Linked DNA regions of Lepisosteus oculatus. The protein of the gene in region 1 purifies or fractionates together with the protein of each later gene. This does not show direct contact. Links are inferred from orthologs where the notes say so. Each region holds a gene or a part of one and is shown on either strand. Other genes may lie near its edges.

What was found. The genes of interacting proteins can lie anywhere in the genome.
Region 2: the proteins of eef1a2 (region 1) and eef1g purify together in Homo sapiens (affinity purification with mass spectrometry; 4 studies listed by BioGRID and IntAct, counting the BioPlex papers as one, with this or other methods). This does not show direct contact. The link is inferred for Lepisosteus oculatus from reciprocal best matches to the Homo sapiens genes EEF1A2 and EEF1G.
Region 3: the proteins of eef1a2 (region 1) and eef1b2 purify together in Homo sapiens (co-immunoprecipitation; 4 studies listed by BioGRID and IntAct, counting the BioPlex papers as one, with this or other methods). This does not show direct contact. The link is inferred for Lepisosteus oculatus from reciprocal best matches to the Homo sapiens genes EEF1A2 and EEF1B2.

Annotation. Positions count from the first base shown.
Region 1 is NC_090711.1:7,367,285-7,374,337, forward strand, and holds the start of eef1a2 (elongation factor 1-alpha 2), read left to right. Parts: upstream 1-4,035; 5' UTR 4,036-4,142; intron 4,143-6,460; 5' UTR 6,461-6,522; coding exon 6,523-6,666; intron 6,667-7,053. UniProt on the Homo sapiens protein: Translation elongation factor that catalyzes the GTP-dependent binding of aminoacyl-tRNA (aa-tRNA) to the A-site of ribosomes during the elongation phase of protein synthesis.
Region 2 is NC_090713.1:22,718,680-22,726,322, reverse strand, and holds the start of eef1g (elongation factor 1-gamma), read right to left. Parts: upstream 3,010-7,643; 5' UTR 2,916-3,009; coding exon 2,904-2,915; intron 1,140-2,903; coding exon 981-1,139; intron 901-980; coding exon 837-900; intron 200-836; coding exon 57-199; intron 1-56. Other genes in the region: polr2g (DNA-directed RNA polymerase II subunit RPB7), read right to left, coding at 4,913-4,926, 5,654-5,687, 5,775-5,846, 5,966-6,031, 6,171-6,221, 6,535-6,694, 6,791-6,900, 7,491-7,502. UniProt on the Homo sapiens protein: Probably plays a role in anchoring the complex to other cellular components.
Region 3 is NC_090707.1:32,795,231-32,802,736, reverse strand, and holds the start of eef1b2 (elongation factor 1-beta), read right to left. Parts: upstream 3,010-7,506; 5' UTR 2,921-3,009; coding exon 2,841-2,920; intron 1,930-2,840; coding exon 1,807-1,929; intron 1,588-1,806; coding exon 1,464-1,587; intron 839-1,463; coding exon 772-838; intron 216-771; coding exon 90-215; intron 1-89. Other genes in the region: ndufs1 (NADH-ubiquinone oxidoreductase 75 kDa subunit, mitochondrial), read left to right, coding at 4,352-4,430, 6,129-6,220, 6,454-6,561, 7,219-7,295. UniProt on the Homo sapiens protein: Catalytic subunit of the guanine nucleotide exchange factor (GEF) (eEF1B subcomplex) of the eukaryotic elongation factor 1 complex (eEF1).

The DNA.
Region 1 (7,053 bases):
AAAAACACTTCTGACTCAGTACCTTAAAGGCTTTTGGGAGGGAGCTATATGTAACAACTCCTCTTCTGATTATGCAGCATGGCCATAGTTTATCAGAAGAGGGGAGAGGTTTCATTCTTTGTCAATGAGACAGTTAAGGATACTACTGTACAGTATGTCCTTGCTGGTCAAAAACAGATTGCAGCAGTGAGGTGAAATTTTAATGGAGTTCTAACAAAAGTGTGGGAGGTTTGAAGGCAGCAAGACAAATAAAGCTCAACTGCTGCTTCCCACAACTTATCCTGATGTAATTTCTCAGATTCCCATATGCACCACACTCTTCCTCGCTTGTTTTGCATTCCTCCACCCAACTCCCACAGTTGCAGCTACCCCTTGGTTGCCTTTTTCTCCAACCATGGAGCTCGCAGCCTCCCTGTCCTATGGCCCTAAGCCATGCGGGCTAAGCCATCCTTTCACAAACTCAAGAAACGATTCTGCTGTAAACACAATTTTCACTTGCCTTAATTCCTTGTTAAATAGAAGACTACAGATTGGAAGTAGGGGAACCTGAGCCAGAATGCATTATGTCAAAGTGTGGTACACAATTGTGAGCCTTTACTCTTAAGAATTCACTGGACAAAATAAGGAAAGAAACTCCCTGAGATCCAGGCAATGTGTGAATGCTTTAATATGAGACAGACATCCATCACCTTCCCAGGCAATCTCATGTCTCTCATTTCAACTTTTTGATTGAGTACAGGTGGACACCAGTGAGGAGTTCATGTTCAATCTCACACACCATAAACTGAAGATAATCCCCCTACAGAACCCTGAAAAGATTGTGTTTCTAGTCTGTGAAAGATTTGTTCAACACATGACACATCCTGGTCACACAGCTGTTGGTGATTGTAAATTTCCACCATTTTATGAAACGGGGTTCCTAATATTTTGGCCGTTGAGTGTATTTCATCACACTAACTGATTAAGGCATTTTATGACACAATCACTGGTTCAGTTCCTTCCAGGAAATCTATTCAGCGTTCACAGAAAGGTATCTGGATAATAAGTATGTCACTGAAATGTTGACTCACCCCCGAGACTGAAGAAGTCATTTTTAAATGTAGAAAAGGTTGCTTTAGATTGGCAATAGGACATATTTGTCAGTGATTTAAAATCTGTTTAACACTTACAGGTTCTGTGGTAAAATCTATTAAATGCTTAGATTAACATCTGATGCAGTTTCACAGCTGGGGAAGTGTTAATTTGTCTCACTGTTTTTAATGTGTTTGTCAGATGTGCAGAAAGGTTAGTCTATATTTAGTCTAGCTTGCTTTCCAAGAGAAGAAATCCTTCCAAACTGGAGAGTTACCAAGTAACATAGAGCATGGAAGGTTTATTTTTCAGAATGAAAAGTCTGAAATGTCCCTGAACTTTCTCATTCCCAGAGGAAAGTGCATTGACTTCAGTTTTCTTTTCTTGACTGTTAAAACTTCCTGCCAGCTTCTTGGATATGTTTAGATTTCCCATGAGAAATATCTACTTGACAGTGATACAGATAATTGATTTTATATTGGATAATATGCCATAATATTGGATAACATGACTTTCTTTCAGTGCAATACAGGGGACAACAAAATATTCAAAAGAAAGACAACTTCCATGTGGAGCTCATTAAGCTTACCCCAGTGTCCATAGATCAAACATTCAGGTTCTGACTTTAACCAGTCGTAAACATCAATAGAGACTTAAACAAGTAGGAGTGAAATTGACTAAGATTTTATTTATTTGGAAGACATAGCACTGTAAAAGCCAGCAGCCATATCACCCTGATGCTCTCAACTGGCTACTTGCTGAAGCAAAGCAGAGTTGAGCCTGGTCAGTACCTGGATGGGAGACCTCCTGGGAAGCTATGGTTGATGCTGGAAGAGGTGTTTGTGGGGCCAGCAGGGGGCACCCACGCTGTGGTTTATGTGAGTCCTAATGCCCCAGTATAGTGGCGGGGACACTATACTGTAGTGGGTGCCATTTTTCGGATGAGATGTTAAACTGAGGTCCTGTCTCTCAGTGGTCATTAAAGATACCTGGGCATTCCTCAATAAGAGTAGGGAGTTATCCTGGTGTCCTGGCCAAATTTTCCCCCTCTTACCGTGGCCTCTAAATTGTCCCCATGGATGATTGGCTTGCACTGGCCCTGCCATGGACTGGCGCCCTGTCCAGGGTGTACCCTGCCTTGTGCTCATTGCTTGCTGGTTAGGCTCTGGCTTCCCGCAACACTATAAAGTGGTTTGGCAAATGACATGACATGACATAGTACTGTGATTGCTACTAATCATCTAGACTCAAAATTATCATGTAAATGCTAACAATTCTCATTTTAGACAAAGGTTAAACACACTTTGTCACTTTTTATGTTCTTATTTCATTGTTGTGCTTTGGTTGTATTGCTGCTTCTTATGTTCAAACACCACTACCACAAACCACACTTTGAAACCCAGATGGTAAACTGCTTCATCTTTCATCTTCAATCAAAAAAGCAATTTTAGGTGTGCCGTGTAAGTCTTGAAAGTTTCAAGTGGACTTTATTTTCCTGCATTTGTCATTTTAGTGGTTTGGTTTTTGGGAACATTGCAGGCAGGGCTGCATCCAGGGGTGTTATATCTTTTTATAATACTACCAATTGACAGACTAATGCTATCAACCTAGACATCAGCAGGAGTAATGACTTAGGAAAGACTGTAAAAACTATGGCTGCTAACACAATGGGGCATCCCATGATCATAATGTTCAGAGCTGTCAGTACTCCATGTCATGGTAGCATCATGACTCAAGCTTGTAACTAGGCTTCAAGAGTGCAGCTTGTGTATTGTTCATATGTAGTGATGTGTTCCCTGGATATTTGCAAAGGATGGTATTTTCTGACACCCACTTTATCCTCTCCAACTTAGTAATTGCAGAGCACATGTCTGCAAGGAAAAAAAAATGCAAAAGCCCTCTAATACTTGTTGTGTAGATAATCAAGCCTGTGGTCACCTCCCCAGATAAACTCTACATGTTGTCTGTCTTGAGCAACAGGCATGCTCTTTTAATGCCAGGTGTTTATTTTTAAATTCTGGCTTGTATCAGACGATATCAAGATACAGTGGCTTCGTTTAGAACTCAAAAGAAGGATCTAGTGCTCATGATAATTCTGTTCAAGTGCCTTGTTGAATGCTGATTTCATTCATATTAGTGAATTCAGTCAATATTAAATATGTTTATGTTGTCTTAGAAGTAAACTTTTCCTGAAGGTGGTCTTTACACAGTGATCTATATCTAACTTTAACTTATTAACTAAATTAACTTATTTCTTCTACGAAGTAAAATACTAATGCATAGTGATCTGTTCATTTAACACTTTGAATGCTTGTAGTGATTGAAAACATCATACTGTGTGTTTTTCTATATAACAAGAAATGCATACCGTACATAAAACAGTTGGAGAAATCTGTGCTAGAATTTGTTGAATGTGTTTAAAAAAATCATAGTACAGACCTGTCTTTCAGTGCACATACAAAAATGAGAAAGAATCAAATCACTGAATGTATGTTCTATATAAAAATACAATAAAACTAAGCTGACCAATGGCAACATCTTTTTAAATCTTAGCTAAAGTTAAACTTATTTAACCTGCTTAGCAACAAAGAAATCATAAAAGATGAATTGATAAACAACATACACTTCAGAGGGGAGTGCTAGACAGAGTCAATGTTTTGTTTCAGTAGAATATTGATTAATTATTTGTGTTTTTATTTTGGTGCTCTATGTTTTGGCTCTACACCCCCTTTAAGCAACTCAGTTCCTCCCGTTAATAGAGGTTACACGTACAGTATAATCACTCTGTGCGTTTATACCCTTGGCTAGCTGTGGGCAAACTTGCTGGTTTGGATGTGTCTTGTATGTTGGGAGCAGAAATGAGCTTCTTTGCTGAATCACTGGGTCTCCCTCTTGCTCTGCTGCAGTTGCTTCACTGCAGTCTTTGCTTTTCTTACTCTGCTACCGCATTGCCGTATTACAGGGGGTGCCCGCATTGCGCAGGGGAGACAAATGCTTCAACCCCCTCCCAGGGACATAAAACTGCCTGGGCTGGAGCTAATAGTCCCTGCTGTCTGAGATCGCAGCCACAGGTAAGAGGCAATATGAATCTGCTATACTATAACCTCTTCTGCTGCAATAGGGGGAATTTCTTACTGTTTTTTTGTTGGTATGTTTTCATGAAGCACCGGGGTTCAGAGTGTAAAACCGAGAGGTCCGTCTTCACCTGCTGGGAGGTATCAATGTTTGCTAGGAGACATGTAGAACATGATGCTAAAAGTAATTTGTTACCTTCAAGAAGAAAACTAGAGACACATTCTCAACAAGCAAAATTGAATATTCTACTGACTCATAAACTGCAACTCTCTTGCAGTGGTTTTCTGGTAAGGATGGGATGATATCAATTCGAAGTAATGGAGGAATCAAACTTTGCAGCTTGCAAAGCCAGCTATGTTTTATCGGGATAAATAAAAAGACAAACAAAGATGTTTGTTTGCTGGGGAATCCACTGCTAAGGACATTCGAGGCCTTTGCTTTATTTTCATGAGGACCAATGAGCATGAGCATAGCATTGCGCTATAGAATACAGGATTTTAGATTCAAGACCACAATGACATAATTATTTTGATAACTCTGTTTTAAACATGCAGCAAATACCTTCTGCTCTAAATGTTACTAAATGTTTGCCATCTCAATATTACCACACCTGGGCTCAAGGGAACTAATACATTCTAGAACTAATAAATTAGTTTTACTTGATTTGGTTGAAATGTTAAAATTATTCCAAATATCTAGAGGATCAAGCACATTGCCTGGCTCAAGGATTGACAATCAATAATCTCATAACAGACGAGGTTATAAATTAATACATTTCTTATGACCTGGTTAGAGTATGATTATTTCAATCCTGTTTGCAAAACTATGTGACAAAACAACATAATACATGTTATCTTAAGATTAAACGTCTTTTTCCATATACTGATGCTTTTCTAAAAAGATTTTTAGCCTCATTGTCTTTTCTTCTTGCTAAAATGGTGAAATTAATGATTAACTATAATTGAGAAGTTATTTAACGTTAATATGCTTATTTTAATGAATGCTGAGATTTGTTTGCCTACAAGCCAGCCTGTCTGTCTGGTTAAGTACAGTTTGACTTGAGTGGATTATTCTCTTTGATCTGATCTTGACAATCAGGGCAGCAGTAGTACATTGCCTAGTGTTGCTGGTATATAATGAAAACATTCAAATGAATGTGATTTGATATTGTTAAAAAGTGCATATTAAACAGCTAATGTGAAATGATTGCTGAATTAAATTTAGCATGTCTGATTTCTTTGTTGGGTGGGTGAAACATGTATATCCTGCATTAGCAAGGTTTAAACTCGAATGTTTGTGGTTCTTGTATGAAAAATGAACATTTCGAACTATTTTCCCATTTCTCATTGAAATAAATATAAAAAAAGTTATTAAATGCATTCAGTATATAAAATGTTTACAATTTTCAACTGTAAATGGGGCTGCAGGTCTCAGAAACATCCCAAATTCAGACCCTTCTGTCCTGACATTGTAAAATTATTGATGATTAATAATGACAAGTGATCATGAAATAATGAAAAACATCATGAAGTTATTGTTCATTTAGATTAGTGCATTTAAGCTTGGTCAGTGGGATACTATAGTACTGGGATAGCAGTGGATCCTGTCGTCCTATGGTATGAAAACAATTTTTTTCCAAATAAACTCCAGAATACATTTCTAATACACAATATTATTAATATATTTAGATATTATTATGGAGGAGTAATGAAGTTTGTTTAAAAAACATTGCAAATCGCAGTAAGTTTGTTATATCAGATGTTAGATAACGATTATTGCATTAACTGGTACTGTTTCTAAGTAGAAAAAGAATTATGTGAATTTCATTTTATTTTAATATCTTTGGAAAGAAAATATCTTAACATATTCAATTACAGAAACAGTTGTTTTAATTCTTTGTGACATTGGCAGCTTGGTCAAGAATTTAGTCCTGTTCATGTCTTAATGTCTGTCTGATTCATACTCATATACAGTACAGTATGTTGTCTCAGTATGAGTCTCTGTCTACAAGGTCATGGTACTTTCTAATGTGTAAAGACTTAAGAGGCAGCCATTTTAGGCATGTATTTACATATAATGTCAGATCTGCAATTCAGGGAAAATTAGGGCAAATACATCAATGAATAAATAACCTTCTGCTTCCCATTCTGAGAACTTTCTTATTACTGTAGATTAATGGGAAGTTTAAAATTAAAGTATTAAGAGGGACCCTATTCAGGATAGACTAGTTTTGATAGATTTCTTTGATGCTCTTCAGTGATTAGTAACCCTCTCTAACGTGGGATGTTTCATCTCCCCTCTGCTTCTCCCCTAGACCTGCCTTGTTCCCAAGCTTCCAACTAGCTCGTCGCTGTCCTTGGAGACCTGAGCTGTAGAATGGGGAAGGAGAAGGTCCACATCAACATTGTGGTCATTGGCCACGTGGATTCTGGAAAGTCCACCACCACTGGGCACCTCATCTACAAATGTGGAGGGATCGACAAAAGAACCATTGAGAAATTTGAGAAGGAAGCAGCAGAGGTAGGACAAATGCATGCCCAGCTCACGAAACCCGAGAAATGTCAAAACCTAAAAAGTTCACTGTTTTCAGCTTTTCGTTCCCTCTTAGTTTAGGTTACGCTGCTGCTGAGGATGGTAGGAAGTCTGTGGTGATTTGTCTGAATATCATCTCCTTTTTTTGTGATGTTATAAATGCTTTTCTCTGTCTCTGTTACATTGCATTAGGGCTGATCACATTTTAGAGATCTTTTAGATGGAACATGAGACTCAGCAGCCTGCAGGCTTGCACACAGCTCCCGTACCTTTGAATGAGACCCAGCCAAGAGATGTGGAAAGTTTCCATTATTAGCTTCCTTATTTAGTAAGCACACTCCATTTTCTGATGCAGTGTGGCCCTTAACTTGATAG
Region 2 (7,643 bases), on another chromosome or scaffold:
TCTGCCGGCGCAGACGCGGACGAAAGCAGCCCGCTGTGGACGCCGCTGGGACTCACCTGCTTGTTGTACTGCATGATGCCCAGCGTGGGGAACACCCAGGTGCTGGCCGGGGGGATGACCTCAGAGTCCGCAAAGCTGAGCCACTGCAGGATCTGGGCCGAGTCCTGCTTAGTGGTGCCTCTGAGAGCATCCGAGCTCACTGACGCACAGAGAGAGAGACAGTCAATCACACAGAGACACACGGGCTCACTGAGACACACAGAGAGAGAGAGAGACAGTCAATCACACAGAGAGAGAGACAGTCAATCACACTGAGACACACGGGCTCACTGAGACACAGAGAGAGAGAGCGAGACAGTCAATCACACTGAGACACACGGGCTCACTGAGACACAGAGAGAGAGCGAGACAGTCAATCACATAGAGACACTGGCTCACTGAGACACAGAGAGAGCTAGACAGTCAATCACACTGAGACACACTGTCTCTCTCTGTGTGTGTGTGTGTGCCAGTAAGCCAGTCGATCACACACACTCAGTCTCTCAATTCAATTCAAGGTGCTTTATTGACACGACCAATGAATAAATTAGTGTTGCCAAAGCAAAACAAATACAATTAACACAAAATACAGACCCCTCTAAATACAGTTACATTTAAACATCTGGAGCTCACTGTTCCTCAGGCTGGGACAGGAGGTCACACACTGTATTATTACAGACAGAGGGCAGGAGAGTGAGAGAGAGAGAGAGAGCCCCCACACAGACAGTGTGTGTGTGAGACCCCCAGACAGGAGAGAGAGAGAGAGGAGAGAGTGAGCAGTGCCAGTCAGGACTTACAGTAGTAGGCGATGGCGTTGCTCTCGAACAGACAGAAGCCATCGTCTCCTTGGAAAGCAGGGACCTGGGCGAGAAACAGGGGGAGTGAGAGAGGGAGGGGAGGGGGGGGGCGCTCCTCGCTGGCCTGCGCCCACGGCGCCTCACCTTGCCCAGGGGGAAGTTCTTGAGGAAGGCCGGGCTCTTGTTGGTCTGTCCGAAGGTGAAGTCCGGGGGGGTGCAGGCCAGGCGCAGCTTGGCGCCGCTGTACTGGGCTGCGATCTGAGCCTTGAAGGCTCTCCAGTTCTCGGGGTACGTGTACAGAGTCTGGGGAGACAGAGGGCAGAGGGTGAGCAGAACCAGGGGCGTCCGGACACCTGCGCCAGCAGCTCTGGACAGCCCAAGGGCATGTGGGGGCACACTGTCACCCCTCAAACAGTCCACTTGACCACTCAGAGAGAGACCCGGGGCTCCCTCTGCGCCCCCCCCCACCACACACACAGCAGGGGCCCCTCTGTCCCCCACCACACACACACACAACAGGGGCCCCTCTGTCCCCCACCACACACACACACAACAGGGGCCCCTCTGTCCCCCACCACACACACACACAACAGGGGCCCCTCTGTCCCCCACCACACACACACACAACAGGGGCCCCTCTGTCCCCCACCACACACACACACAACAGGGGCCCCTCTGTCCCCCACCACACACACACAACAGGGGCCCCTCTGTCCCCCACCACACACACACACACACACGGCAGGGGCTCCCTCTGTCCCCCACCACACACACACACACACACGGCAGGGGCTCCCTCTGTCCCCCACCACACACACACACACACACGGCAGGGGCTCCCTCTGTCCCCCACCACACACACACACGGCAGGGGCTCCCTCTGTCCCCCACCACACACACACACACGGCAGGGGCTCCCTCTGTCCCCCACCACACACACACACACGGCAGGGGCTCCCTCTGTCCCCCACCACACACACACACACGGCAGGGGCTCCCTCTGTCCCCCACCACACACACACACACGGCAGGGGCTCCCTCTGTCCCCCACCACACACACACGGCAGGGGCTCCCTCTGTCCCCCTCACACACACACACACACACGGCAGGGGCTCCCTCTGTCCCCCACACACACACACACGGCAGGGGCTCCCTCTGTCCCCCACCACACACACACACGGCAGGGGCTCCCTCTGTCCCCCTCACACACACACACGGCAGGGGCTCCCTCTGTCCCCCTCACACACACACACACACGGCAGGGGCTCCCTCTGTCCCCCACACACACACACACACGGCAGGGGCTCCCTCTGTCCCCCACACACACACACACACGGCAGGGGCTCCCTCTGTCCCCCACCACACACACACACACGGCAGGGGCTCCCTCTGTCCCCCACCACACACACACACACGGCAGGGGCTCCCTCTGTCCCCCACACACACACACACACGGCAGGGGCTCCCTCTGTCCCCCACCACACACACACAGACAGCAGGGGCTCCCTCTGTCCCCCACCACACACACACAGACAGCAGGGGCTCCCTCTGTCCCCCACCACACACACACAGACAGCAGGGGCTCCCTCTGTCCCCCACCACACACACAGCCGGGGCCCCCCTCTGTCCTCTGCCCTGTGTCCTGTGTCCGGTACCGGCGAGCGGAGCGGCGGCACGCCCGGGCCCGCAGACCCGGCTCACTGACAGCCGGGCCTCCCCCCCCGAGCCGAGCCCCCGCCACACAGCTCCCGGACCCCCCCCTGACACCACAGAGCAGCGCCCTCTCGCAGGACTGCGACCCCACCCCGCGTCTCTCCGGCACCGGCGCCTGTAAGCAAGCGGCGAGAGAGTCCGTGACGGAGCCGCTTCCCAACAATAAAACCGAGCGAACCCCCTCCCCTCCTCCGCCATCCGGGAGAGAAATACAGCTCCCTGCGGAGACACAGCAGCCTGCGGCCCCCGCAGCGCCCAGCGGCCGGGCCGAGCGGCGAAGGATGAGGGGGATGGCGGCCGGATTGCCGGCGCCCACCAGTTTGAAAACCCGGCCCCGGCTGCTCCGTACTCACCCCGGCCGCCATCTTCGACAGGAGAGAAAGAAGGAAGGGCGGCGCGCTCGAGTGACGTATAGCGAGGCCGGCCGCGTGGCGCGCGAGGGGGGGCGGGGTTTCTGCGTGAGAGGGGCGGGGCTGTGACGGGGGGAGGGGTCGGCGAGAGGCGCCGTCTGCCCGCAGGACTGGTCTCCTCCGTCTCCGTAGTGCGGCAAACTCCCACCGGGCTTGAGTGCCCGCGTCCCCGGGGCGCGGCGGGTCTGCCTCCCGATTCTCACATCCCGGGTTCAGCCCCAGACCGGCACTCCATGCCTGCATGTGTTATCTGGGGGTGCACTCAATTCAATTCAATTCAAGGTGCTTTATTAGCATGACCGATGGGTACAATCAGTGTTGCCAAAGCAGATAACTTACTCACTGCACAGACACCCCTGGGGTCCAGACTCTCACTGGTCACACTGTACAGACACCCCTGGGGTACAGACTCTTACTGGACACGCTGTACAGACATCCCTGGGGTACAGACACTTACTAGATACTGTTCAGACACCCCTGGGGTACAGGCTCTTACTGGACACACTGTACAGACACCCCTGGGGTCCAGACTCTTACTGGACACTCGGTACAGACACCCCTGGGGTCCAGACACATATTGGACAGGCTGTTCAGACACCCCTGGGGTACAGGCTCTTACTGCACACTCTGTACAGACACCCCTGGGGTACAGACTCTTACTGGTCACACTGTACAGACACCCCTGGGGTACACACTCTTACTGGACACGCTGAACAGACACCCCTGGGGTACAGACTCTTAATGGTCACACTGTACAGACACCCCTGGGGTCCAGACTCTTACTAGATACTGTTCAGACACCCCTGGGGTACAGACTCTTACTGGTCACACTGTACAGACACCCCTGGGGTACACACTCTTACTGGACACGCTGAACAGACACCCCTGGGGTACAGACTCTTAATGGTCACACTGTACAGACACCCCTGGGGTCCAGACTCTTACTAGATACTGTTCAGACACCCCTGGGGTACAGACTCTTACTGGTCACACTGTACAAACACCCCTGGGGTACACACTCTTACTGGACACGCTGAACAGACACCCCTGGGGTACAGACTCTTAATGGTCACACTGTACAGACATCCCTGGGGTCCAGACTCTTACTAGATACTGTTCAGACACCCCTGGGGTACAGACTCTTACTGGTCACACTGTACAAACACCCCTGGGGTACACACTCTTACTGGACACGCTGAACAGACACCCCTGGGGTACAGACTCTTAATGGTCACACTGTACAGACATCCCTGGGGTACAGACACTTACTAGATACTGTTCAGACACCCTGGGGTACAGGCTCTTACTGGACACTCTGTACAGACACCCTTGGGGTCCAGACTCATATTGGACAGGCTGTTCAGACACCCCTGGGGTCCAGACTCATATTGGACAGGCTGTTCAGACACCCCTGGGGTCCAGACTCTTGTGAGACAGACTGTATTAGTATAGGTTATCAGGAGACAGATTACAGGATTTCAGCTTTGTTGTGCACATATACAAATACGAACCCCGGTAAAAGAAACGACAACAAGGTGAAGGCCTGGAAGTCAGGGCAGCAAAAGGCTTTTATTGATCTGGACAGGAGGGAGAGGCCACAGTGCGGAACAGCAGGCGGGGGGGGGGAGGGGTGACACTGCAGAACAGGCGCAGGGGGGTTACTGACGAGTCAGCACTCCAGCAAGAACCTGCTGAGTCACCTGCAGGGGCAGGGGCAGCCAGAGAACGCAGCTCTCTCGGCCCGCAGTCTGGGGAGAGCTGCACCCCCAGACTGGTTCGTGCTCCGGAACCGTGACACCCTGACCCCCCCCCCCCGCAGGGGCCGCAGAGTTGGGGCGCAGCTTCTCGTGGGGGTGCTGCGCTGTCGGGGTTCGTGTGGGGGAGGTGGGGGTTGATGCCAGACACTTATAAAAATAGATCTCTTCTCTTCTCCAGTTTCCTCTGCAGCAGGATCAGCTGACCAGGCCTGGAGAGAGACGGAGAGAGAGCGATCATTCCTTCATTCAAGCAACAGTGAGGTTCATCTTTAAAGGCCAAAACACTCCTGTTACACTGGGGGCTCCAGTCCAGTAGGACAGTCTGTTACACTGGGGGCTCCAGTCCAGTAGGACAGTCTGTTACACTGGGGCTCCAGTCCAGTAGGACAGTCCTGGTACACTGGGGGCTCCAGTCCAATAGGACAGTCCTGGTACACTGGGGGCTCCAGTCCAATAGGACAGTCCTGGTACACTGGGGGCTCCAGTCCAATAGGACAGTCCTGGTACACTAGGGGCTCCAGTCCAATAGGACAGTCCTGGTACACTGGGGGCTCCAGTCCAGTAGGACAGTCCTGGTACACTGGGGGCTCCAGTCCAGTAGGACAGTCTGTTACACTGGGGCTCCAGTCCAGTAGGACAGTCTGTTACACTGGGGGCTCCAGTCCAGTAGGACAGTCTGTTACACTGGGGGCTCCAGTCCAGTAGGACAGTCCTGGTACACTGGGGGCTCCAGTCCCGGTCCAGTAGGACAGTCCTGTTACACTGGGGGCTCCGGTCCAGTAGGACAGTCCTGTTACACTGGGGGCTCCAGTTCAGTAGGACAGTCTGGTACACTGGGGGCTGCAATCCCAGTCCAGTGACACTAGGGGGCGACAGTGACAGACAGCACACAATGCTGCAACACTAGTGGCTGGAATGACTGACTGAAGGACTCACCCAGATAATCATCCATCAGGGATCCAATTGCAAACTGAAAGAGAAAAACAACATGAGGGAGGGAGTTACCGGGAGCACGAGAGATGGGGGGGAGGGGTGAGAGAGAGAGAGAGACACTCACGATGTCGTTCTTGTCCACTCTCGTCCCCACAATCTTCAGCCGGATCTCGTCGTCCTGCTGGATCACGATGTCCTGCACGGGACAGACAGACAGACCGACCAGCGGCGGGGAGTCAGAAGCTCTGCAATAGCGGGCAGCGAGAGAGAGGGGGGGGCGGCGCCTCTCCTTGTTAAACCCAAGCCCAGACTCACCTCGTCCACCGTCTTGTAGCAGGGAGGGTTGGAGTTCGGGTCGAATTCCATCTCTGAAGGAATGGACTGTGAACACAAGAGCAACAGTTACCGTCCTGCAGCGCCGGAGGGAGAGCTGGGACAGACTTCCAAGTCGCAGCAGAGAGGGAAACAGGAAGCAGGGCCGAGCATCGGGACTAGAGAGGAAGAGGGGTCCGGTACTCACGTGACGAGAGATGAAACACGACATTGGTCCAATTTCTGTGAACAGCCCCACCTAGGAGATGGAGAGACGGGTTGTCAGGAGGCCGTCAGGAGGGTAGAAAAGAGGACAGAGAGAGAGAGACAGGCCATTAGGACGATTGAAGAGAGCAGAGAGAGAGAGACAGGCCATTAGGACGATTGAAGAGAGCAGAGAGAGAGAGACAGGCCATTAGGACGATTGAAGAAAGGGGAGAGAGACAGGCCATTAGGACGATTGAAGAGAGCAGAGAGAGAGAGACAGGTGATTAGGAAGGTAGGAAAGGAGAGATGGATGAGAAGGGGAGAGAGAGACAGGCCATCAGGAGGTCTCCATGCTCTGTCCTGACCTTGTTGACCTGAGTGACCACAGCATCCACCACCTCTCCCTTGAAGGGTCGGAACACGATGGCCTTGTACTTGACCGGGTACAGCACGAAGCCCCTGCCAGGCTGGATCACGCCGGCGCCGATGTTGTCGATGGTGGTCACAGCGATCACAAAGCCATACCTGCCACAGAGACAGAGAGAGGGGGCCGTCAGCACCTGCGCCGCAGGGAAGACCTGGAGCGGAGCGGAGCGGACTGCAGCGATCCCGCTCACTCACTTGCCCGTGCAGGTGCCCTCCACCTCCGTGAACAGCTTCTGCTTCACCGTGTTCAGCAGGTTGGGGCCGAAGTACCGGGGGTGGAGCAGGATCTCGTGTTCCAGGGAGATCTGGGAGGGAGGCAGGCGTTACAGAGCGGGAGACCAGGGCACCTGCCCACTTTTTAAAAATAATTGTTGCACGGCTCTTCCACAAGACGGTCAAACAAGGACGCGACATCACCTCAGCAGGTGCTGGAGGAGGCAGTGATTAATCCTCTAAACCTCTGGTGTGAGGTGCGCCAGCTGCACCATGTGACCAGCGCTTAGCAAGTTCCTTGTATTTACACCGCACTTTCCCCAGGAGTCTCCCCAGACAGGAGAGACCCAATTCACCGCCAGCTGGGAGACACATAGCGGATCAGGAGGATAGAGAAACTCATAAGCAGGTTCGGTGAAATGAAGCATTCCCATTTCTATTTCTAAAAATAAAACCTTTCACATTGAAACGTTTGTCGACAGGCAAGAATGGAGACGCGTTCACTTGCGCACACTTAAATATGTTTATTTCTGTCAGTCCTGCTATAAAATATTCCGGCAAAGACGAACTTTGCACTTTAAAAATGAAATATGAATATTCTTGCGTTTCTGAGCCCAGCGTTCTCCCCCAGTCAGAGCCGCCAGGCTACGTGACCGCGGAAATTAACGATTCAGCTACTTACGTGATAAAACATCGTGTCCCACTTCCACAAGGAGAACCCCTTTAAACCCAATTTAATTACACAAATACGAATATAAATAAAGCAACAACGCTACAACACGAATGAAGCGCCGACGCTCACTCCGCCTTTCCGTTTCCGTCTCAGCATTTCTAC
Region 3 (7,506 bases), on another chromosome or scaffold:
CAGAATATCTATACAGCACATGGGAAAGACTTGGGATTTATTCACTAGCGGCCCCTGCTGGGGAAAATTACTGATTCAAGCACACTTACAGGATCCCCAGACAAGACCGTCCATCTGGATGCTTCTGACACACTCCTCCAGTTTGGCCATGTCTGTCTCGTCATCCCACGGCTTCACGTCCAGCAGGATGGAGGACTTGGCGATGAGCGCTGGCTCTGGAGGAAAAAAAAAAAAAGACGAGGGTCACCCGGCACACTAAAGCACATTGCACCGCTGCATCAACTCTACTGTAAATATGAACGCTGGCAACCATCAGATCAATAACAGTCCATCAGGGATTCAGTCGAAAGATGGTGAGTTAGATCATCACTGTTCCAGCGAACAAATCACCGCTCTGAAAAATCCCCCCTTCAAAATAATTTGCGATCCCCTCCAAAGAATCGAGCCCCACAAACAAAACACTTTCATTTTTTTGTGCCCCAACGGGCAGCATCTGAAATAAAACCCAGATCACCTATAAATTCACTACTGACATCACTGCAAATCCATGAGCAATACAAATGAGCAGATCCACCATGACCAGTTTTCGTAATCTACAGGTACTCAAGAACTCCCAAGCCTTTCCAGCTGTTTGAAAGCACACCGGAATCAAGCCCGGAAACGCAATCAAAAGGTGTGTTTGGTGCAATACAGGTCAGGGAGGGATATTAGAGGGTTGCTAGATATAGCCTGCTCCCTGCCACGGGGACAGAATATAGGCGGTAAGCTTACTTTTGGCTTTCTTTGCTTCGTAGGCCGCAAGACGCTCCTCCCTCACCCTCTTGGCCTCTTCACTCTCCTAAGGGGGGGGAGAAATCAAGAAAGTTACCTCCCAAAAAAAAAAGAAAATCGGACAGACCAGGAACAAAGCATCAGATACACGCACAGACAAGCAGGAGACTGCTGGCGGCCGTCAGACATCAGAATGTCCATCACGTCTTCAGCCGAAAGATGGTGAAGAAAAATCACTCTGGCCAGCCACAAAGGGAAAAACACGATCTGGACGAGGAGCTGGCAGAAACCATTCTAGGAGAGCCGCCGCCTTCAGTTAACACTTCAGTTCACGCGCGGCTTGAAATTTGCTTGTAATATGATTATCTATGAACCGGTGCCATTGTGGCATCTCTATATCGAACGATATGCAGCTGCGAAACAAGATTGCGTGAATCGGTTACAAGGGCTCCACGTGGAACTCGGACGTGTTGCAAGGCAGCTCAGTGCTACACATTACAATCAACAGCAGTGCCTGGCTGCACAAGACCGATAACTCATTGTTAAAAGATGAATTGGGGATTGTCCAACCCCTGGACACCTCACTTTCCACATCCACGTATAATCTGTAACAAATCTACAAAATGATTCTTCCCCCCCGTTGCAAAAGTGACTCTCTCAGCTGGCTTTGTGCAGAATCCACACGCACTCACCTCTTCCTCATCAGACCCAAACAGGTCGATATCGTCGTCGTCCTCCTCCTTCGACTCGGTACTGGTGACGTCTTCCACTCCAGCTGGGCCATACTTCCCCAGAGGCTTCTTCACTCCAGGAAGGCTGTGGAGATAAGGGACGGGAGTATGAGATGGGAGACAATAGCGTACACCACCTCCTGCAACCGAAATGAACTGGTTGGGGTCAGAGCTGATAAGCTGTGCATCACAGGCTCAGGCGAAAGATGGTGAAAACGATCATCACTCCACCAGTTAACACGGGCTTCATTTTACAACACAAAGAAGGCTTTTAAATTTCCTCTCTTGCTTTGCCAGCCAGTACCTTGCTTTCTCCTTCTCGTAGGACCTGATGTGATTGTACCAGCGCAGGGCATGGAACAGGTCTGCGGAAGGCGGGCTGGAAAGGGCCTCGAACACAGCGACATCTGCCTGAGACGGAACGTATCTGTTCAGAAAATAAAAGCCCACATTACACGTACGGTACAGACAACGGATTCTTCCTGAAAGGGGCACTTAACATCACTGTTGGACACGGTTATCAACTATATTAATCGATAGACGTAGGAGTCAAAACATTCTCCGAGATTCAGTCTTTCACAACTCTTCAATCTTGCGACACATCTTCCAAAATAGTACGCATGAGGCGAATTTCACATTTGAGGAGAATAAATTCATTTCAGCTGGGTGAATGAGTGATGCGTCCGTTTTCTTTTTTAGCACCCCCGCAAAACTAATCGACCCGAGCAACGAAAGGGTAAAAAAAAAATTGTGCCATTTCAAATGAATCCAAATACATCCCGTCCTGTTATTTTTTTTACTGAAGTTGTGCTAAAAGGAGTTTGCACGGCGCAGACAGATGTCGGGGACACTTTCAATGGGCTCCTAACAAGAATATACTGATAATGCAATGCAGTTAAGCCCGGTAAAAATGCCTATGGCCTACAATGTCAGGATATGATTAACATATGAGAATCGAGTACAAAAATCGTTTTACTTTCATTAGTTTCGTTTTTTTAATATTAAACGTTTAAGATGTATTTTACATATTATCAGCCCATTTTCTCCACAACCGCACTCCCAAGTCCTTAATCACTGAGCAGGCCACAGGCCTTGCCGGGTAAGAGTTACGTGTCAATTTTAACGTTTACGTAACAGAATCGCGAACTACACCCGTTTTTAAATAGGAAAAAACTAACATCGGTGATTTTATTAATCCGGTTTTGTAGTTTTTAAACGATAAAATCCCCTTTCGTTTAATCTGGCGCCAACGTGTCACGGCTAACATGACTCGTGAGGCGTGCTCAAAAAAACTTCCCAACGTGCAAATTAAAAAAAAAACGTATACCGTGTACAGACCCCTCGATATAACTTTTATCAGCCAAAAAGTCGTTGAGGACCTTCAAGCCGGCCGGGGTTTTAAGATCTCCAAAGCCCATTGTATTAGATTTGTTGTGCAGACCTCGTTTCAAAGACCCGGGGGTACGATTTCTTCACACCAGCGGTCCAGCAGGAAGAGAGAAGGAACGAGTTTCTTCTTACGATGACATTTATACCTCTGACGACAACACTGGCTCCACCCTCACCTCCTCGGACAACTAATTTATTAAGAACTACCTATTATATAATATAATGAACGAATCTTATTCGAAGTTTTCAATGTGTTAGGGGAAAATGACAAATTATCCAACTTTGAATTTGCATGACGAGAAAGATCCATCCGTCGTGTCTCAAACACACAGCCTTAAGAAATGCACGTCCGAAGCACTTCGGAGAGACTTTAATTGATGTGTGAAAGTTCTCGCAGAATCCCAGTAAAAGTTTAAACTAGAAGCAATGATTTGACAGAGCTTATCGTGTGGAAACGAAGAGAAATTAAACGCGTCAGGCGGTTCTCAGAGAAGAATTCTACATTTTAATCAATATTCCAAAAAATAAAAAGCAATATTTCTTTATCTTCTCACTTTATACTATTTTGATGGGGGTTTTCTGACTTTACATGAAAAAGAAATTAATGCAATACCTAGGTAAATACGTTCATTCATGTAGGAAGTGACGAAACGAAGGTTAAAGGTGAAAGGTTCTTTAATATCAAAATAAAAATAATAATGACATATGCTAGGCAAAATGGATGTATTTGGTATAGAATAAAATAAAATTAGTCTCTTTGGAAAAAAATAAATCTTTTGCGGTATACGTTATTTGATCATTTTCGTTATTTTCTCCGGAGATTGCCGAAGTCGCCATACTGGTAGAGCGCCGCTGTTCTGGTCTAGAAGGCCAAATAGCGACAAGGTAAGATGACCAAAACAGACCTCTGAAGTTGAAGTGATTAGTGTGTGGGCATGCAGATGCTTACTTTTTAAACTGTCGTCAAGCTACAATTAAAAGACGTTGAAGTTTGCTGTTTTTTAGAGTGAAAAGAAGGGGTTTGTTATCTCTTTCTGTGCCCTTGACTCTTCAGTTATGTAGCTTGCAGTGCCCTGCAACAACCTGAGCTCTGTGGTGTAATGGAAGAATTGAAAATTAATTAACTTGTGAGAGATGAAATTTATTTCTTTGTGAGCTGTTGGTCTGCCTCCTGTTTACCAAGTGTCACTTTGAATGTCGGAGGTTCTTATCATTGTACACGCCAACATTTTGTGTTTTAGTCCTAATGCTGTTCTTTTGCACATAAAGTGAGAGGATGCATTAGGTAGCTTTGGGATTTCATTTTCTAAAGTGTCTTAAATAGATAGAGCCGGACCGTGTTGTGTTAAGACATGGGATTTAGAGTCGTGTGACCTTTTTGCCGTTTCTGGGTCGTCTGTGTGTTCATGAAACCCATTCTTCTAGTGTCAATGTCTGATGTGTGTTTTTCTTCCAGCGACATGTTGCGTTTACCTGCGGTGAGACGTGCACTTTCAGGGGCTGCCCGTTCCCCAGCTTGCATAAGTGGGAAGAACAATGGTAAGCCCAAAAAATATCTATCAGTGATCTCTAAAGCTGAGCACACAGATGTAAACAGAGGGAATGTCCATTAGACAAGTGTTGCCTGGGGTCTTTCTGGCTGTTCATCTCTCTTGGTGGATGTTGCCACTTTGCGGTGCTTTAGCAAGACAGTTCTGCCTGGGCTGTTGCTCTGAGTGGTGTTTAGGAGCACCTGTATATACAGCAGGAGCATTGATGTCTTTGGGTATCCCAGCCCTGTGTGGCAGCTGTAGTGCTGCTTTGATTTTGCTGTACAAATCCGCATTGGTAGAATAAACTACGCCGCTGAGGATCCGTACTTGTGCTTCTCAAACTCTTCCCCCAGAAAGATCGGCGGTGTGTGGTGGAATCGGAAGAGATCGCGTGTCAGCTCTTTCCAGCACTTCAAGCAAATCAACCGTAGCCTTAGTTGAAACAAGCTCATAGGCTGGTTATGAGCTCACGTTCACAAACAAATTATAATTGGGGGGAAAAAAATTAGTGCTGAATCTTTTCCTGTACCACAAGTCTTGTGAGATCTTAAAATCATGATGCGGGCTGAATACAGTGCTGAGAAGTGTTATTTGAAACGCTTTGCAAAATAAGATAGTAGTGGAACTTGTTTTCAGTCCAGACCCTTAAATTCTTTTGCATTTGTTTCCCATTATGTTTACAACCCCCATCCAATAACATGATCCTCTGTGAGGGGCATGAACAGTTTTTACAGGGCATAGCTTGTAATCCCACTCAGCTGGGGGAATATTCACAGCCCATCCCATCCTTCTTGTTAGCTTGGTTTTGCACACCACTGCCTTCATCACTACCTCGACTGGAGATAATCTTGTTTGTTTTGCTCATTTCACCGGTTTCAATAGGGTTAAGAGATTGTTCTTTTAATGGGGCACAGTGGTGCAGTGGCTGGCATTATTGCCTCACAGCGTGGGGGCCCTGGGTTCAATTCTGGACCCAGGGTACTGTCTGTGTGGAGTTTGCATGTTCTCTCATGGTTCTAGTGGGTTTTCTGCAGGTGCTCCGGTTGCTCCCACAGTCCAAAAACATATTGGCAGGTTAATTGGCTTCTGGGAAACCTGGCCCTGGTGTGAGGGTGTGCGTCTGCGTCTGTGTGTGCCCTGTGATGGACTGGGGTGTCGTCCTGGGTGGATCCTGCTTAGTGTCTTTTGGTCGCCTGGCTCTGGCTCCCCCTCAACCGAATTGGATGAAGTGGTTAGAAAATGGATGGATGGAAATGTGTACTTCTCGTTACTTAACAAAAAGTAACAAGGGAGTAACAAATAACAAGGGTGGAGCAGTGACACTGTGGCTAAGGATCTGTGCCCGTGGCCGGCAGAGGAATCCTACTCTGTTGGGCCCCTGAGCAAGGCCCTTAACCCCAGCTTCTCCAGGGACGCCGTATAAATGGCTGACCCTGCGCTCTGACCCCAAGCTTCTGTGTCTGTGTGTCTCATGGAGAGCAAGCTGGGCAATGTGAAAAGACAAATTCCTAACCCAAGAAATTGTATATGGGCAATTAAATGATCTTATCTTAGTAGGAGGAACTTAGTAAAACCTGAATTGGAAGAGGCAGCTGGAAAATGGTGATCCTCAAGCCAGCCTTGCATTTGCATACTGCTGAGAGACTGGTTACAAAAACGAATGAGGAAGAGTTCATTGCGCTGGGTTTCTCGTTTGTGTCTGCAGTCCGCACCACAGCTACAGCAGCCAGTAACCTTGTTGAGATCTTTGTGGATGGAAAGCCCCTCATGGTTGAACCAGGAACTACAGTGCTTCAGGTGAGTTCGTATTCCGAAATGGTTACCATCTTGAAAATCAGTGTAAACTTTGTGAAACTGCAGGGGTATTGTGGTCCATATTTGTATGGACAGGTCAGTCCACTTTTGGAAATGTGGGTAATGAGTTTTATTTATCCTTTAAATGGTGAAGTACATTTTGGGGGAAAACAGATAGGAAGTATTAATAGTTACCTGTCATTTAATTCGGACCCAACTGATTTTTTTTTTTCTAGGCCTGTGAGAAAGTCGGAGTTCAGATTCCACGCTTCTGTTATCACGACCGACTCTCAATTGCTGGAAACTGTAGAATGTGTCTGGTGGAGATTGAGAAAGCACCCAAGGTACGGGTCTTCCAAATTACAAGATTTCGAAAGCAAATGATAAGTGCAAAGGATTTTGAATTTTGATACATGGAGAAAATCACATGGAGTTTTGGTGGTTAAATGTCTGTTGAAAGACCTTTTCATGTGGTTTTGTAAAAGTAGCTGCATATCAAAAGGATTAAAACATCTGTGTTCATTCAGCTGTGATCAAGTATGTTGGATGTATGAGCATCAGGTGTTGCAAATACCATTCTTTTCAAAATAGCAAGGTTGCGCATTTTGATTTGAAATTCTCCAAAATGTTTTCACCACGGCTGTTTAGATGGCTGTGATTCAGAAATGTTTTGTGCTAAATTTCTTATTTTAAGTGTTTGAAATGCTTTCTACATCTTTGTTATTAATGGCATAATTACGCAGGTAAGCATTGTGATAGTATCTGGCAATTAATACCACCAGTAACTGTTAAGGGAAATGTTGTCAGCTGGAAGATAATTGGTAAATTTAAGGAAACTGAAGAGCTGACTAATTTAATGCACATTCAGAAATGATCACTTAAACTCTTCGTCTTTGTTTCAGTGGAATCTAGGTGGCAGAAATCTAGTAACATGTCTTTCATGGCAGTGTCAGCACGAGTCGTAAAATGAAACCGTTTCTAACGCTTTCTTGCCTTTTCAGCCCGTGGCAGCTTGTGCAATGCCAGTCATGAAAGGTTGGAATATCCTCACAAACTCTGAGAAAACCAAGAAAGCCAGGTGAGGTGGAGAGCAGGTAGTTCTTTCCTGCCCTGCGTTTGTGTTTTCCTGTCATCCCGTTGCGTGTTTTCAGAGAACAGCTTCTTATGGGTGTTATGCCCTGTGGGGCCCAGTGGCCGCTCGCGGTTGGCGGTTTCCCGGGAGACCGGAACATTTCCACGAGGAATTGCGGTCGGGATCACCTTTTGGGTGGCTCCTTCCTTTGCCGTTC